Schizosaccharomyces pombe: one gene and its partners. The protein of the gene in region 1 interacts with the protein of each later gene in a pairwise test. Each region holds a gene or a part of one and is shown on either strand. Other genes may lie near its edges.

Region 1 (4,608 bases):
TGTGATTTCAACTAATCATAATATCATTAAGAAATGTCAAGAATCTCAAATACAAACAGGAAAGAATAATTGCTCTTTTCAGTTAGTAAAAAAGAGGATTAAGAGTACTAAAAAGGCACCCAGCTGGCGCTCGATAATTAAGGCTTTCAAGAAGCGAGAAAATACTAGGTGTAATTTTCTGTCAAGTTTACATGCAACTACGTTTCGTGAGGACATTGTCGTTCGTCCTAAAATCAAGTCATTCGTTCTCGAACAGTTGATCTTTCAGGCGTTGTTTTCATTTGCTATCAATTGGACACCAAGCTTCTTTTTGAATCACTCCAATTTTGAGAATATTGCGTTGAGTAAAGAAACGTTTAACTTTGGAGGTGAAGCCAATTGCGAAAATACGGACACCACATTATTTACTACTTGGGGCGATCAAGGTTTTAGACCAAGTGATTCTATTTGCTATAACGACTTTAATTTATTGGAAACGGCGAATTCTGATGCTGAAGCTTCAATACATGAACTCGAACTTCAACCGCTGAATGCAGTGAATGAAAGAGAGGTTGATATATCGCAAACCGACATGACTCCATCCACGGCGTTAGACACTAGGGTAGACACTAGGGTAGACTCTTTACCAGAATTTTCAAACTTGATACTTTCGCCCTCAAGCAATGACGACAGTTTTCAACTTGACGACTTGTTGTCCCCCTCTTCATCAAATCTCAAACAACAGATTCAAAAAGTCGTTCCTCAAAATTCCCTAGAATTTTCTGTTGGTGAGAAAGAAAAAAAGGCAGCCGAATATAGCCTGCTTCATACGTTTTCTTACAAACGACTCTCTATGGAAAATGAGAAACCAGATACTACAAAGGTACCTTTAAAATATAACATACAACATGAAGAAATGAAAGCGTATCGAAGAAAAAATGATTTAGAATATATAGATCAGCACTTTGCAAGCTCTAAGAGTGGAATTTCGAATGGGAGGAATAATAATAAAGAGGTCAACTTAACAAAAGCTGAAAATGTCGGCATCAAAAAACGTCGAATCATGAAAAATGAAAATAACATTTATGATTTTGAAGATCACTCTCCTGTTAGGGAAAAATGGGGGCACAGGCTTCGGTCCAGAGGTGCTAGTTAAAGTACCTCGGCACTTTTTATTTCCTTCGGCTACCATTGAATATTTATCCCCACGTGCTTATGATTCTTGAGTAGTTCACATTTTATGAGTATATCATGAAGGTTTCATCAAATAATTAAGACTCTTTTTTTTTCTATTAATTGGGTTTTTATTTATAAAACGATTAAGAGCATCAATCCACTTTGACTCGTTGTTTGCTTTTAAACTACGATCGTCCTAAAATGATTTATGGACTACATAACACACAATGGAGTCATTGAAAGCGTGGACATCCCCATGAAGCGGCGCAGGGACACTCAACCTGAACGGATTGTATCAAAGCCGGATACTACAACACACTTTTTAATATGAATGTCTCCTATTGGCGTCGTCTCGTCTACTTTATCCATCTCAGCTGATGCAACGACGCTTCAGGGTTTTCCATCCAAATCCCAATTTACCAGCCTTACTTTTTTATAATGTGCTAATATTGTTGAATTGTGCTCAAATATGTACATATACTACCCGATATAATGATTCTATAAATACTCTTTTTCTGTTTTTTTTTTTGGAACTCATATAAATAAATAATCCGGCGATCTAACTACAAGCCACGTTTCTATTAATCTAATCGGTCGTTTCATCTTTGAATATTATTTAATTAATTTATTTTCCTATTTTAATTGTTAATACTACTAGAAACAATGGTAATATTCTAGATTTCTATTATCTTAAGATTTCCGCATTGCAACCTGCTAAGTAATCTTATCAATGCGTTAGAACGCGTAATGTTATTTTACATTTTACGGTCCGCAAGCTAAAGCATGCACTATGTATTCATTGCCATACGCGAGCAATGTACCCGGCCTTAACAATACAGTAGACGGATATTGGAATTCAAGCGGAATTGAATATTTCTGCTTTGAATTGACTTAAAATAATGAATGAAGATGAAACTTCAATTTTAAATAAGAAAATGGAGAAAATTGAGGTAGAAATGGCGGAATTTGAACGATTGGGCGCTGAAAGAGAGAAGGAGGCGGTCGAAAGAATTGTTCAAGAGGAAAATCAAAATCCTGAAGTTCCATCGAACGATGACGCGTCCACAGATATTAAATCGCGAAAAGAAGGAAATATGAAAGTCACCGCCGAGGAAATTGGTTTGGAGACTGAGAACTTTGATGAGCTACCTGTAAGTAATGGATTTGGTGTAAGCCGACGAGAAACCCATTACGGTAACAACAGGACGTATTACAAAAATTCTCAAGGATATCGAAGAAAACCCAAGAGAGATGATTATAACAATAACCGAAAAAACTTTTATCCTCCTATACAAAATTCTACATATTTTATAAACGCTACCGGGGGAATTGACTCCATGCCATATTTTGGTTTAAATAATGCTCCCGGCAATATCTATCCCTTCTCAATGTATAAACCTTTGGAAGCGGATCCGCAGTATTTATCTGTTCCCTCATCCATGCCTTCCAGAAGGGAAGCTGGTATGGCTTATGGATATCAGAACTACAAACGAGGTGGTTATACTCCTAATACGCAGTATTTTGAGGAGCCTCTTAATAACACCTCTTTTCCTAATTCCCAAGGGAAAGAGGGAAAAAATTCGGGGTATCGTAAATCGTCAAGGATCCTCGATATCCGTGTAAAGTTTGGAAACTCTTCTATGAAAGCCATCAATTTTCAACCTAAAAAGAAAATTGTCCATGTCGTGCATAATCCCCGTCTCCATCAGAACAAAGTTCTTCGCGTCAGTATACCTGGATCCCAACCAGCACTGGTTACACCCAAACATAAAATGAATGTTCCTCCTATGGGAATGTATCCCTTACCTTTCTCCCCTTTACCTTCTGCAGCTCCGCCTATTCCTTTTTCCCCTAACGTCTCTTCCCATCCACATATGGCTTTTCTTCCAGCCACTGTACCAACTCATTCTGCTCCTCCTGGATTTGTCCCTTACGATTTTCCTATTACAAATGACAAAATGTATCCTTCACCCTCATTTCAAGAGGAATTTCCATCAACTTCAAAGTCCCCTTCGGCCACACCGGGATCTTCTAACGCTCCTGTTGTGGATATGCATCCTAGCGCTGATTCCGCTACGTACCCTACTTCCATATATCCCTCTAATGTACGTGCAAGAGATGATTCTCAGCAAGCTTATATTTCTGCGAATATGACTACCGGTGAAATGCCATCCATGACCAATGTTCCCGCTGGTAATGCACCTGCAGCACCGGGAACCATGTACACAACCCCTTTACCTACTGCCAATAGTCCGATTGCATATCAATCCTACTCTGTTATGCCGACTTACTGGTCGTTTCCTCAAAATTATGATTCCACCGTTCCCGCGGTCTATCCTTATATGCCTCCTCCATTTTCTGGCAGTGATATGAATGTAATGTCCAATCCTGCTGCCGATACTTTACGATCTTATTCACCTGCTAGTCAGGTCTCAACTCCCCCCTTCGGTTTCGTTTATTACTATGACCCAAATCAGTATTACGTACCAGTTAGTAACGAATCAGCCAATGCTACTAGCCAGCCGTTGTCTAACTTAGACACTGGAGGCAGTGCGCCTTATGACCATATTTGATGGGTCAATGACTTATTGTCTTTTGTTAGAATGATTTTTATCATTGAGCTTTTAAGCATTTTGATTTAATTATGTTATGACCAGCATTTTTGTTTTGGAAAATGACCGGCAATGCCTATATCCTCATATCTTCGTCTTTCCTGTTTTCTTTTAAAATCCACTCTACATACCGATTAGGCATCGTCGACTAAAAAAGAAAAAAGTCATTGGTTTTATTCAAGAAAGCACATGATCCGGTTATCTTCTTAAAATTTAGCCGGCATTCAACTTATGCTAATGAAAATAAAATATGTTATTATCATTTTTTTCATTGTTTTGAACTATAAGCCTAAAACGATGAAACTTTTGTAACAGAAATAAACAAGAAGACTCCGTCTTCAATATATACAAACTTTTTTTTTCAGTTCCCCATGTATTATACTTGAAGAAGCTTCAAATGTCAGATAATTCTAATGAAGTAGCAATATTTTTTTTATCGGTAGCGTTCTTCGTTTATGTTTTAGCTGACGAATGCTTGATAGACGAGGCACTCCTAACAGCAATGAAACATATCAAACTGCTTACGAGTTTAATAATAAAAAAGTCAATCGTGCTTATCGAAATTCTTTTTCGAATAGTCTTCAGGTGGAGGAGAGGCAGCGAGAGCTGAATAAGGAGAGTCGATTTCCGCATCATAAGTACCGCGGGTGTTTTGGGGGTTTTCGGAATATACATTTTCATCCAAAAAGGATTTAAGTTGTGTAAATGATTGCTTAGCACCTTCCTGAACGTTACTAGAGAAATTATTAATGGCATTCATGTAATCCTTCCTTGTTTCGGGATCTTGAACCTAAAAACAGAGTCAGTACAACAGAAACTTTATTTTTTGGATACAATAAAA
Region 2 (6,241 bases), on another chromosome or scaffold:
GAAATTTCAGACTTTATAGCATCCTCCTTTATAGTGCTTTCGTCAGTTTGCTTTTGCTCAGCTGCATTGGGTAGTACGAACATCATTTGTAAACCCGCTACTTCGAGTATAGATCTAGTAGATAATTAGTAAGACGAAAAAGAAATAAAAAAAAATAATTGGCATAATTTCCTGCATTTATTTGAACTAGGACGGAAATAATTATTTTCTTGATAATTTGACAAATCCTTAACGCGCATTTATAAAATAACCAAACATTCGTTTAAAATTGACAAATAACACGAGAAAACCATAGAACTTATGAAAGAGTAAAGCATAAATTATGCGCTGCTGAAACCATCAATATTCCGTCCTGTCGCAAATCACGACGAACCAACACTATTCTAGTAAATGATTTTTAACATACCCACTTGTAAGCTTGACTGTTTCCCCATTCTTGAATAACTTGCCATCTACTTTAATGCCATTTCGACCGTAAACTGAGCAATTCCATGTTTGGTCATCCAAATCATATTCCACAACAGCGTGTTTTCGACTCACAACTTTAGAAGGACCAAAATTCATATCAATTACTTCTAAATCTTCATTTTTCCCCTTTGGTGAAGGATTTGCTGGTTCGCGACCAAGTATAATTCGAATTTTCTTAACATAATAAGTCCATGTACTTCCAGCGAATTTCGCATAAGCTTGTATTTCTCCAGAGTGTCTTTCCGCATTTTTACTGTTCGAATAATCATCGACCACTCTCATTTCGTGAGGTGGAACGGACAACTTCGCAATTTGGGATTCCAGGCGACCATTCAATACAATGTTACGATCTGTGTCTACATCCATTTGCTTTTTGTAATCTAACTGTTCTTTTCTCTCCTCGTCATCTGATATATGCTCAGACTTGCTTTCGAGTCTGCGAACAGTCATTTTTCCTTTCTACAGCAATTGTGCTGTTGGTGTGTGTTTATTTACACTCGTTTGTTGTTGTCAACATTCGTTTACCTTCCGTTGCCAGCGCTTCACGGTATAACTAATATTGACCATCATTTTAGATACATAGAAATTAAAATATACATTTTTCTAAATATTTGTACATTTTTTATTTTTGTCAACAATGCGTCTTTGTTATCGTTGCTATTTATATTTTTGTAAACAATCAAGATACCGGATCTTCGATATACTTTTTTAAATACTAAGCAGTTAAAAAAATCCTCTTAATATATTGGCGTAGGATTAACTTATAAAAAAAAAAAACTCAAACAATCATAACTCTGCAAGACTTGTAATAATTTTAGCTTTTCAGCACTCAGTGTTTTTTGCACATGTAATGGCGTCTAACGGTCGCGTGCATATCCTAGTAATTACCCTATTATTTAAAACGTGTCTACTGAAGATTTATTTTGAGAACTGTACAAGCTATTACATGAATACACTAAGAGTATTAATTGTGTTTTATGGAAATTCCGAATCATTATTTCGCTTTCAATCAACCGATTTTGTGTGGCTGCAATATTAACGCTCAACTGTTTACTCACGTTATTTTCCATATTTTTACTAACTACGCGATTCGCGAAGTCTCTGTAGGATACGTAATATTATTTGGTGAGTTCGTAGCGCACTATAATGTGTGGTACACAACAGAAAGTATTATGCAATATACAGTTACCGAACATAACTCAGGCACGGAGAGACTTTGATATTATAATAAATAATATGTGGCTTACATGAACAGACAAACTTGATCTTGAATGATCTTTATTTCCCATACTTTTTTCTTCAGTAATATTGAAAATAGTCAATAAACGGCTTGATGGTTCCAGCTTCAGGACTCATTGGAGAACTCACACGTGAAGATGTCAGGCTTATAACGATATTTAACATACCGCAACAAAAACATTTAGCATGGTATAATCTCATTGCTTCACCTACACATGTATGCTAACGTGAAGTAACGAGTAATTACTATTTAGCGGATGTATACGATCGCTGGCACACACTCTCGTAGGTTTAACCTGTCGCGTATATCATCCATAATCGCTTCGCAGCGATCACCATTTATTTATTTATTTACCTATCTAAAGCACCAAATTCCTTTAGTTTCAAAGCGTTAAATTTTGAATGATAAACTGCATTTTTGCTCACTTGCGTTAACTTTCGGTTGTAAAAACCGGTAACAACGATTCGATAAATACAAATTAAAAGACCTGTTCTCCCTCAAGTTTGAAGTTAGCAGGCTTCAACATAGTTTATTGATAGGCTGCTGAATGTCTTCCGGCGATGTATCTCGTAGACAGCGTGTTTCTAGAGCATGTGATGAATGTCACAGGAGAAAGATCAAATGTGATCAGAGAAGGGTAAGATGTCAATTTCTTTGCTCTATTTATGTTTTGCATAATTTTATTATTTGAGTTGGGAACTGAGAACTCACTTCACCCAGTTACCGCTTTCTCTGAAGTTGATTGTAGCTTGATTGATTTCAGTTCAGCTAGAGAGCATGCGGATAACCTTTGTCGTTAATTTATTATTTTTTTGGCTTTTATTGCTCTTTTTCTATCTTATTTGCATTAATTTGGATGAGCGATTAGAAATAAATATAAATTTCTGTTCTTTACTAACTTTTTCAGCCTTGCTCGAATTGCATAGCATATAACTATGGTAAGTGCCTACAATTTAGATGAGATTATTTTCTTCAAGTTTAGTCGCTTTAAAATTTATTTCAAGCCTCTATTATAATTGGATGGAGTTTTCTAACTTTGTTGAAGAATGTACTTATGGTCAACCTTTTAAGCGATTACGGCATGCTCCTGAGAAGTATATAGAATTTTTGGAGCTTCGATTGAAATATCTGAGGGGACTGGCTGAAGAAAGCGATCCAAATTTAAAGTTGCCATCATTTCTGGCTCCTCCAAATGACAAAGATTCTCCTGTGAACCAATCTCCTTGGAAACGCTCTGATTCCTCTAAAAGAAGCTCGTCACAGGACGAGTTTGAAAGCTTATTCGACCGGTATGGACAATTGAGTTTAAAAGATGATGGGAAAGCCGACTTTCGTGGAAGTTCCTCTGGCTTTGTCTTTATGAAAAATATACATCAAAACATTGCGAGGAATTCTACGGTTCCCAATCCTGTCCAAGAATCTAATTCATCTTCTTCTCAGCCAGATCCTTTATCTTTTCCGTATCTTCCACCCACCCCTGCCGAAGATGAACATAAAAAACCGCCTCTCAAAATTCAGCTACCTCCATATGAGGAGGCTCTTTCTATTGTTAGCCAATTTTTTATGAATGACCATTTTTTGGTACATATTCATCATCCTGCATCTTTCTTTGAGAAGATGCATATGTATTACAAAACTGGCAAGACTGATAACAATTTTCATTTTTTACTTGTCGCTACATTGTGCTTGGGTTACACCTATATGCCCGATGAATCTCCTAGTGCTAACTATCCTTATCATGAAGCTTACGAGTATTACTATTACATTCGGTCTTCATTTTCATGGGAAGATAGTTATACGATTGAAGTTGTGCAAATTTTATTGTCTGTTGCGCTTTTTGCTTTGTTCAGTTCCCGACTTTCTCAAGCTTATACGTTCACGAATAATGCGTTATTGTGTTGCCACGAATTGGGATTGCACAAGGATTTTTCAGACGTTCTCACATCTCATGAATCTCGGTTATCCAAACGGGTATTTTATTCTGTGTACGTTTTGGCTTGTTACACCAGTACAATTGTTGGTCTTCCTCTCAGTATTGAGGACGTTGATATTGATCAATCGTTACCCAATTCTTTTGATTTCACATTAGAAAATGACCAGGTTCCTCCACGATTAATAGCATCAGAATGCACTAGCTTGGAAGTTTTTATACAACACATAACGCTTTCTCGTATTTTAAGTCATTTTGTAAGGAAAGTGTATCCAGTCAAATCGCCCTCTGACTCACACTGTAAAGTTTCATTACCAGCTGTTCGTGATCATGAAGAAAAACTTACATATTGGTGGAAAAACTTACCTTCTTATTTAAAAATGAGCGAAGTTCCAAAATTTTCACCCAAATGGATCCAAGCAATAATACTGGAATTGAAATTCAGGCAAATAGAACTCATTTTCTATCGCCCTTTTATTCACAGTATTAGTACACCAATTGATAATCAGAATGGGTCGCCAATGAAACCTGCAAATTTTGCTTTAAAGTGTGCACAATCTGCGGAGCGTGTTGTTTTTTTGTTACAGGAATTGGCCAAATCTCCAAATACTCCCAAACTGTTTTTCAATTTGTATTCTGGATACTACGCGTTAATGACCTTGACATATTGTGCTACTTTGACGAAGGACGATGCCAATAAATCTAATAATTTCATAACTAAGGCAAGATTAGGATTTCATTGTCTACAAATGATATACCGCGAATCCACTTACTATAGTACAATAATGGAGGCAATCAAGAACTTGCTAATTGCGTATGATATGAACTCATCTGGTACTGAAAATTTGGATGCGACCCCGGATGTTACAGGACAACTACCAAACAACTTTTCGCAGAGAACTAGTAATATACCTAGAGAGTTTCCGCAAGCACAAATATTTTATTCAGATGCTCCTTACCCAGGTTACTATAATCCTGCCCAGTTTCAAAATGCACCAACAAATTTCCCTATGCCTACGTATGGTGGGCGTACACAGGATCAATCTTATCCTAGACAAAACGGATATCCTTCCTATTCTGATGGTAATGTATACCCTCATGATAGGGTTATGATTAATTATGGTTCTTCAATGCCAACAGCGAATGGTTTTTATGTTCCGAACACCTATTCTCCAGTACCTTTCCCGTATAATACTTCATACCCTCCATACATGAGTCCAACTTCGAATATGCCTCAGGCTTTCCAAGCATATTCACAGTATCCTTACCAGCACCCGCCTTTTCCCTTGTCAGAACAAATGCTACCACTGCCTACTTCAGGGGTTATGATGGCACCTGGAGCTGCAAAATCTGGCATGCCGTATCCCTTCATTCAACCACCTTCCATGACTAACCAAGTTGCTTATCCTACTGTCCGAGATGGTTCTAATAATTCTCCTGACCATCCAAGTTCCTCAAACTCTAAAAGAACCGAGTGAGCGATCAATGTTGTTAAGCATAGAAACTCACTTTTGTTTTCAAAATTTTTTTTTCTGCAATAATTCTTGCTTCACTTTTTATCTTTAATAAGGGTTCTAGCTCCAACTTTTAGGGTTTGCTCATGAGAAAAAACATTGACATTTTTAAAAAACTTATTTTTTGTTCCTTTTAATTAAGTGATATTTTGTTTGGTTGATGATTAGCTTTTTATGTTTATTGAATAATAGAACGATTGAATATCTAGATTATCTGTCTTCCTAGATGTTTGTGATAGATTTGCTTTTTGATCTTTTGATCAAGCTTAGAGAGTTAGCCTACTGCTTCATGTCCATTAGCTAGTGATATTTACGCGCATTATTATCAGCAATGAATAACCAAGTAGTGTTAAAAGCTAAAAATTTTGGAGTAAAGTTACGTTGAAGTTCTACATTATAATGGATTACTGCAAAGCAATTGATGAACTAAAAACTTTAATAGTGTGCATTTTCTTTCACGATGGAATGTATAATTACTAAAATGACAATTAGCTGTTTATTTTGTAAGCAACTGCAAACCCAACTGTGGAACGTATTGTTGAGTACCTTTGGCATCTAGGCTAAAAAAATGATCCCTATAAAAATCTTCTAAATAAAAGCTCTGCGAAAAAAATGGTATCGAGATCTGATGCTTACACTGTATTTTAGACGTTGAAGAATTTAAATAATTAAGCCTGCACACTCAATATTTACCACCACACAACGTTGACACCGCCTTTGCATTCATAAAAATGTTTGCAGTAAAATATTAGTAGTCTCATCGATTCAATTGAAGCATAATCCCAGCTTAAAAGTTCGATGGTTATCAGGTTAATACTGAATGAAACCTTTAGTTTGTGCGTATAATTTTTTATGGTGAATTGTATTTTATAGAAATATCCAACTTTCTACTACAGAAGAAATACCGTAATTAGGTAAATTATGGTTGGGAAATCTAAAAATAGGGCCCACAAAAATATTCGAGCTAGATCTTGTCTGAGATGCAGGCGCCGAAAAGTCAAATGTGACCGCCAATATCCTTGTTCTCGATGTAAAGAGAGTGAAGAATCATGTACATATGGAGTAAACGAGCAAGCAGTCCAACTTCTT
Region 3 (4,150 bases), on another chromosome or scaffold:
TACTAACTGCAATCACAGAATATCCAACTCGTCCCCCCAAATGTAAGCATATAACTACGATTTTTTGCTAATGCTTTTGTACAGGTAGGTTTACTCCACCGTTATTTCATCCAAACGTTTATCCTTCTGGCACCGTTTGTCTCTCAATACTTAATGAAGAAGAAGGCTGGAAACCGGCAATTACAATTAAGCAGGTAAGAATTCAAATCAATTTCTTAATCTCCAGGTTTTAACCATTTCTAGATTTTGCTGGGTATTCAGGATCTTTTAGATGATCCTAATATTGCCTCTCCCGCTCAAACAGAAGCATATACAATGTTCAAGTAAGTATCATAACTACTGTTTCCACAACCATCAAATATAATTAACCTCGTTTAGAAAGGATAAAGTCGAGTACGAAAAACGAGTTCGTGCTCAGGCTCGTGAAAATGCTCCATAAACTGACTGGTACTTTTTCTTATTTTTTATTGTTTAATATTATTTTTCCTGATGTGTATATTTCTTTGCTTGACTAGTTGAGATAAAATCTCAATCTTATTAGCGGTTTCACAAGTCGGTTGCTTTTTGTTTGTTAGGATAAAAGATTGATACAAGATAATACCACTAATTATTTAAATATGTTTTTTTTAAAAAGTTCATTAAATCAACCACGTCTTAAGTGATAGAATTTACCTCGACAAATTCCTTTAAATCAATTAGAAAGTAAACTATAATTTAATAATTGTATGCCCTCAAAAAATGGTCACTATTTAAATATAGTGTTTTTTTTTTACAACTAAGACAGTAGAATGTACTTTAATAAGCACAATCAAGGTTTCAGAACATTAAGCAACCAAAAATAGTATTTTAATGATCAACAATAAACATTCTTTTTAGTAATGCTCAAACGCTATCTACTGTGGGTGCGATTGATCACCGCTGACACCATGCATTTGAGCATAAATTTGCTGTTGATAATATTGTACATACGCATTGTATCCTCCATAAGCTGCGTACGGATCTACTCCTGGAGTAGTTAAACCAGGCGTACCAGTCCCTGGTGCTTCTGTACCAGGAGCACTAACTCCAGGAGCACCAAACATAGTAGGCATACCCTGTAAAGGCATAGAAGAAGTCGTCGGTACTGCAATAGATGAAGTGACACCAGGAGGCATTGCCATAGCTTCCATTCCTGGAACAGCTGGAATAGATGGTACGGGTAACGATGGTGTTACTAATGGTGCAGGGGAAGCATTAGTTGGTTGAGTTTTTTCTTGTCGTGAGTCTCGTGCGGAGAATGCCTGATTCCGGTTTGGTGGATTGTAGGCACGATTTCCTTGATTTTGATCACGATCTTTTGGTTGTGACTTCCAAGCTTTATACTGTTGGTGGACACTGGCTATTAAATCCTCGCATAAAACCTTAGCTCTTTGGATGGCATTAGGATCGTGACTCATGATGCACAAATGTATAGGTTCGTCTGATTCGCGGTTTGTCGATGGCTCTATGAAAGCAGAACCTTGCCCTTTAATCTGAACACGGGTGCGAGTTTCCTGTTGTATATGCTTTACATATGCTCCCTGTGGGCCAACAATTGCTTGACGTAAATGAAATCCACGACTTGGAGTTAAATTAATATATACTTTTTCTTCTAGCCACTTTCGTCGCGGTTGACCGTTTTCCCCATTACCATTGCCATGCGTTGAAAAATTACGAGGCGAGTTAGAGTTATTCCTTTCATTATCTTCTCGGCGGCGAAATCTTCGCTCGTCGATTAAAGGACCCATGTCTTTATTAATCCAAGATTCAATTTCCTGCAGGGCAACCGTTAGATCTTTCCTGTTATGCGATACTATGTGGAGATAGAGTGGAGGATCCTTGTCAGTAGCTAAAGCTTTATTTGGATAATATCGTCCTTTGGAAAATAATTGCACGCCACTTTTATTCTCGATCTCAGAAAGGGTTGAGGCACGCACCAAAATGTAGCGATTACGCACATTGTTAATTTCAACATCCTGCATAAAGACACCGTCCCCTTCTATAACCTTGCTAGTAATATCGGCCATAGACGGAGGAATATCAACTGCGGGTCCCTCAGAACTTGGAGGAAGTGGAGGAGCAGGTGCACTTGGAGGTGACGCAGATGTCGTTGAGGTTATCCCTTCTGAATGATCATATGAAGTCCTGCTGGACGTTGCTTTTGTACTTTGTAATGATTCGGCGATCCGTCTGGCGGCAGCAGCTGCTGCCTCAGCTCCATTGTTTGTCGGTTCTTCGATTGGCGGATGCGCTGGGGCAAAACCTGATGAAGAAGATTTCCATCTTGAATCTCTAGCAGGACTTCGACTTCGAGAACGCTCTTGAAGGTGTTCTTCTTTGCGATAATATCTTGATTCTCGGGGTGCCTCATTGCCCGACCGCTGTGAATCTCTTCTACTATACGAATCCTCCGTAAACCTAGATCGTCTATCCCGAGAATAATTATCTTCCCGTTGGGAATTTTGTCTTGAATCAGACATGAAACTTAACTTTAGCTATATACGCAAACTGTGTGGACATAGTAGAAGTAGTGCTTATACGAAAAAGTCAAAGAAGGAGGTTGAACGAAGCACGTTATATAATAATTTTTTAAGACAAATGTATGGTGGATGTTTTACATGTTTGAGCAAATGGCAATTTCATATATATATATATATTTATTTATTTGTTTGTTTATTTATCTATTTATAATACATGCAGTCAGCAAAGGCTTAAATTACCTATTTGTACTGCTCTGAAAACAAATTCTATCAGAAGAATAAACTCAATTATAGTGACAAGTTTTTCAATAAAGCATTTCCCACATTCGTAATCGCCTTAGAAAACTGTGAACAACCTCAATTACATCCTTGCCATATACTGTAGAAGGATCCACATTCTTTGCTAAGACATTATCTTCATGATAGCGAGCTTCGTTCCGTGTCATAGCTACAAGATTGGTGTGATCAAAAGGTAATTGTGGGTTCCATCGAACAACAGTGACTTTTTGAGACTCATGCGGGGGAAGAGCGCTTCTACCAACGTAAACCTCCTCAATGATATATGACATCTCAGATGCATTAAAAGTTTTATCTAGGTTTACTCCAGCTTTGCGAGCTTCAGCATGTAAACGTTTAACAGCCTCTTCGTATAAGCGAGGACGCGTCATGGTAGAAATGGGATCCATAGGGTATTTAGCAATAGAAGTCAAAACATAAGTAGCAATTGTAAGTCCAAAAATACCAGGCATAGGTCCTATTACAGGAAGAATACGAGCACGGAATTCGGGTAAAGCACTCAACTCATCAACGTCTCCTTTTTCAAACTCTTCCTCAGAGAGAGGTAACAAACTTGCTTTTCTAGGATCTGGTTTTTCAGTAGAAAATACGACAGGAATACCTTCCATAATACCAAGGAGACGCAACCTACGACGAGTAGCTCTTGATAAAGGATCTTCAGAAGTAGCTGATATATCTGCTATGTTAACACGAGTCGGATCAGATTTGCATGCAGACCCGGTAGAAGCAATTACGGGAAGTTTGTGGTTGTAGCAATAACTTAATAAATCAACTTTAGTTTGGATGTTATCTATAGCGTCGATTACAAAATCAGGATTGCCAGACAAAAGATCGTCGGCGGAGTCGGGATTGAAAAGTGCGTTACGAGCATCTACTTCAATCCAAGGGGCAAATTTTTTAATCGCCTTTTTTATAGCAAGAGTCTTTGGAGTACCAACATCTTGCAACGTGGCTATGGAATGACGATTTAGGCTACTAAGAGATACTTGATCAAAATCGACAATTCTAATTTTTTGCACACCAGAGCGTGCAAGCATATTAATCACCCAGCTTCCAACACCACCACAGCCTACGACGATAACAAAAGAGTTGCGCAGACGCTCCATACCGTCTTCTCCAAAAAATGCATAATTTCGAGCCAGCTGTTCACGTATCAGATTTTCATCGTACGGAACGCCTTTGCTTATTCCTTCATCCTCTTCCCCAGCATCATAAATTTCTATAGGTACACCAGAAGAAGAAAGTTGAATACTTTTACCAGCTTCAGGAACAATCATCGACTGTAAGCGACGAATTGAGCGATGTTTACGAAACTCCAACGTTCCAAGGATTACGCATGCTGTCGTTACAGAAGA
Region 4 (3,704 bases), on another chromosome or scaffold:
TTCCGTATTTTTTAACATTGAGAATGCTCTATTGACTCGTTATATACCACGAGATGAAACCCTATGTATGTGTAGTTTGAATGCGGCACTGTATGTTGTTCTATCGGTTTTTTTTTTAAACTTGCACTCTTCTGGTTTGAAATGATTTGGCTGTTATAATTACAAGTTGCAATTCGGTTAATTAGCGGTACTTACCTCTTCTATGTTAAGATAAACATGTACTTTTAATGAAGAAAGTATACAAATCTGACGAAGTATTGGGATAAAAGACTCTGAACTAACCGATTTACGCAATATTAATAGAAGCTAATCTGACAGCTTTAAATTTCAAATTTCAGATTGTATACAGCCAAAGTATACACGTACGCATTTCGAAGTAGACTGGGTTTGACGTGTGCGAGATAATGAACATAATAGATATTTTTTAGAATCTTTTAATACTTGCGCATAAAATGTTACGTATGAACAAGCATGAATTGTTTCCACAGCTATAGATACAGCACTTATGTTTACCTATATCTAAACTGTTGCATTGAATCATTCCTACATAAACCTAAAAAACAACAACACAGGGATATCAAAATTGCTTGCTTGCGAGCTTTTCTATGTGCACTTCTAAAATTGCCCAGCTCTACTTAATACTTTCAGAAAGTCCTACCTTAATAAAATTCAATTTCACTTTAGCAAAATAACTGAGTATAAACATAAAAAATTTTTTAACGGTATCGACTTAATATCTATTGCGCAATATACTCACATAAAAAGCTCATAAACAAATATTTAGTTCCATGTTTCTCAGTCTCACCAACCAGGACCGCCATGACCTCCAGGACCACCCCCAAAGCCTCCGGGGCCTCCTCCAAAACCTCCAAGACCGCCTCCAAAGCCGCCAGGACCGCCTCCGAAGCCACCAGGACCGCCCTCAAAACCTCCAGGGCCGCCTCCAAAGCCACCGTGACCACCATGATGATGGCCTTCACCTCCAAAGCCTCCAAAGCCTCCAAATCCACCAGGACCAGGAGGAGGACCGCCAGAACCACCACCAAAACCTCCGAAACCACCACCGTTATGACCACGATGGTGAAAGAGATTGCCAAGTGCGTGTGAAGCCAGGCCACCTAAGGCCAATCCACCTAACCCTGCAGCGACAGGAGCAACGTAGCTTGGTCTACTGTAAGAGTTGCCAGTGGTGTAGCCATTAGAAGAGGTAAGCCCACTGAACAGCCCTTTATCACTACCATCTGCATTGGTAGTGGTAGTGGCAGCAGCATTAGGATAGTATGCAGCATTGGTATTGGCAGGGGCATTGGGGTTATATGCAGCGCTGGTAGTAGCGGCAGCATTGGTAGTCGTGGCAGTGTTAGCATTGGCATTTGCAGCAGTATTAGCATTGTATGCAGCATTCGTATTCGCAGCAGAAGTATTGTTATTGTTATTATACACAGCTGTATTAACGCTTGTGGCTCCTGGAGGAGGAGCAAGTTTCAGATTTTCGACTGGTGGTTCCCATTGGGGCTGTGGATTTTGAGCTGACTCGTTAACATAAAAGTATGTTCCATATTCAGCATCCCATTGAGCAACCCATCCACTGGGCAAACCTTCACGAGTTTGATAGACAGACATTTTTTATATGATTAATTCTGTAAAGACACAGAGTAAAAACCTATATAAACGATATAGAGGCTTAGAAAGATTCTAACCAAAGAAAAGAAAAATGTTATAGGCAGATATTCAAAAATCACTCTCTAAGATCTATATACTTAATTTTTCGAGTATTAAAGATAGAAAGTTTTGGTGGTAAGCTGTATCTGTTAGGGAAAAGGAGAAATCGCGCAGTGGTATAGAACGATTATAAAAGAAATGAAAATCTGATACGCTACAGATCATTACATAAGAGGCTGATGTAGTGGTAGTAGCATTATGCAAATTTCGTTATTTTACTATATCGTGATTGCCCCAAACCATAATTCGTCATTCCTAGTTTACGAATTTACGAGTTCCATTAAAGTGGTATTAACGTGTTTTTAAAAGTACTTCACTAATTATCGAAAGCTGTTCATGGAAAATAGACTGCCAATTTGTTTTATTCAAACTCAGAATATCAGGGTTTCACTAATGCTGCTTGACTTGAAACATAGCTAATTGAAAAAGGAAAATTGCTCTTATTACCCTTTTTAATCGCCGGCTTTGCTTAAAAACAAACGGTTTTGCATTGCTATGAAAACCCTCGACATTCATTTGATAATTGCCAGGTACAAATTTACGTATCCTTACTGAATAATCGTAATATGAACAAATAAATGTTGTACCGTAGATAATATTTCTTAATTTTGAAATATATTAACTTTTCTTATTTCATTATGTGTATCCAAGAGCCAAGTTATATTTCTCTTATTTTAAACAGCTTGATAAATACAGGTTTTAAACGATTCAAATGATATCTGTTTGTCTTTTAAAATAGTGGTATGACATCCCATAAGTGTAAAAAAAATTTTTTTTCTTTCTGCCTTAATTTTTTCGGAATTGTGCATTTAATCCAAAACCAAACAAATATCTGAGTTTGCCAATTATATAGTCAGTAATACACCACTATAAACTATTCAACTAAAATACCCAAAAAAAAAGGACAACTAGTAATGAAAAAACAATGATAATAATAAATGAAAGATATATAATTGACTATTTTAAATCATGCATAATAAACTAATTTAACGTCTGAAAAAACAACCATTGATTTTTTAAAAGTTTCAAAAATTGTGCTTCACCCAATTTTTTACAATTAACCAAAAAAAAATATAAATAAATAAGTAAATACACGTCGAAGTGATAAATGCCAAAAAAATGATTCCATCGACAACCAACTCCGTCGATATTCACACCCATTATAATATATGCTCCTTACTTCTTTGGTATTAAACAGAAATTTTATAAATTAGACCGTTTTCCTCGAAATCCCAATAAAGAATGCAATGGTACAATAAATAAGGAAGCTTGAAACAAGTAAAGATCAGATGATAACAAAATTAATATAAGTAAACAAGAAATTAGGTCAAAGAACGACTAACAGAATATAACAATTTTAGAACGATTAGCAAAAATAGTATGAAATTTCAAGGGAATAAAAAGAACTTCACTGGATATCGTGTTTTCCATTTAACAATTTCGAAAGAGTCGTATACGTGAATTTGGTGATTCTATTCAAAGGAGAAAGTGATGTTCTCAAAAAAAAAGAGCGATTCCATAATCAACGACCATAGTATGTAGGACGAAATCGGAACCAAATTTAAATAAAAATCAACGCTTTTCATCTGCGGCCACGTCCACCACGTCCACCCATGCGTCCACCACCGCGGCCGCCGAAACCACCGTGAGGACCATGAAGTGGGCCATGATGGCCACCACCGATTCTTGGACCAAACAAAGGGCCTCTGGGAGGAGGAGGGGCGTAGTAAGCACGGTGACCACGAAGAACACTGCCGGCTAAAGCTCCAACCATGAAACCTCCTAATCCAGCCGTCATAGACCGTGAGCCGTCAGAAGAGCGAGGCACGTCCTTTTGATAGACGACGGTAGTGGTACCGGGAGGAGGAGGAATATGCAAGCCTGGAATAGGAGGCTCCCACTGTGGTTGAGCACCTTCAAACGTTTCATTAATGTAAAAGTAAGCTTGATAAGTTGGATCCCATTGGGCGACCCAACCAGCT

Evidence for each region.
Region 2: the proteins of SPOM_SPCC622.15C (region 1) and ntu1 interact in a two-hybrid assay, tested with the Schizosaccharomyces pombe proteins (one large-scale study listed by BioGRID).
Region 3: the proteins of SPOM_SPCC622.15C (region 1) and SPOM_SPAC30D11.14C interact in a two-hybrid assay, tested with the Schizosaccharomyces pombe proteins (one large-scale study listed by BioGRID).
Region 4: the proteins of SPOM_SPCC622.15C (region 1) and wwm2 interact in a two-hybrid assay, tested with the Schizosaccharomyces pombe proteins (one large-scale study listed by BioGRID).

Annotation. Positions count from the first base shown.
Region 1 is NC_003421.2:1,428,226-1,432,833, reverse strand, and holds SPOM_SPCC622.15C (uncharacterized protein), read left to right. Parts: upstream 1-1,984; 5' UTR 1,985-2,054; coding exon 2,055-3,728; 3' UTR 3,729-4,091; downstream 4,092-4,608. Other genes in the region: Jmjc domain-containing protein Epe1, read left to right, coding at 1-1,135; SPOM_SPCC622.14 (GTPase-activating protein), read right to left, coding at 4,312-4,557.
Region 2 is NC_003423.3:4,241,745-4,247,985, forward strand, and holds ntu1 (regulatory protein ntu1), read left to right. Parts: upstream 1-2,000; 5' UTR 2,001-2,255; coding exon 2,256-2,345; exon of another isoform or gene 2,346-2,413; intron 2,414-2,615; coding exon 2,616-2,646; intron 2,647-2,753; coding exon 2,754-5,116; 3' UTR 5,117-5,682; downstream 5,683-6,241. Other genes in the region: DNA-binding forkhead transcription factor Fkh2, read right to left, coding at 1-114, 407-918; SPOM_SPBC16G5.17 (transcription factor), read left to right, coding at 6,074-6,241.
Region 3 is NC_003424.3:1,090,789-1,094,938, reverse strand, and holds SPOM_SPAC30D11.14C (RNA-binding protein), read right to left. Parts: upstream 2,552-4,150; 5' UTR 2,499-2,551; coding exon 894-2,498; 3' UTR 560-893; downstream 1-559. Other genes in the region: small ubiquitin-like modifier-conjugating enzyme Hus5, read left to right, coding at 19-42, 85-194, 244-323, 379-439; tcd1 (Moeb/ThiF domain-containing protein), read right to left, coding at 2,804-4,150.
Region 4 is NC_003423.3:202,568-206,271, reverse strand, and holds wwm2 (protein wwm2), read right to left. Parts: upstream 1,814-3,704; 5' UTR 1,624-1,813; coding exon 802-1,623; 3' UTR 551-801; downstream 1-550. Other genes in the region: protein wwm3, read right to left, coding at 3,305-3,704.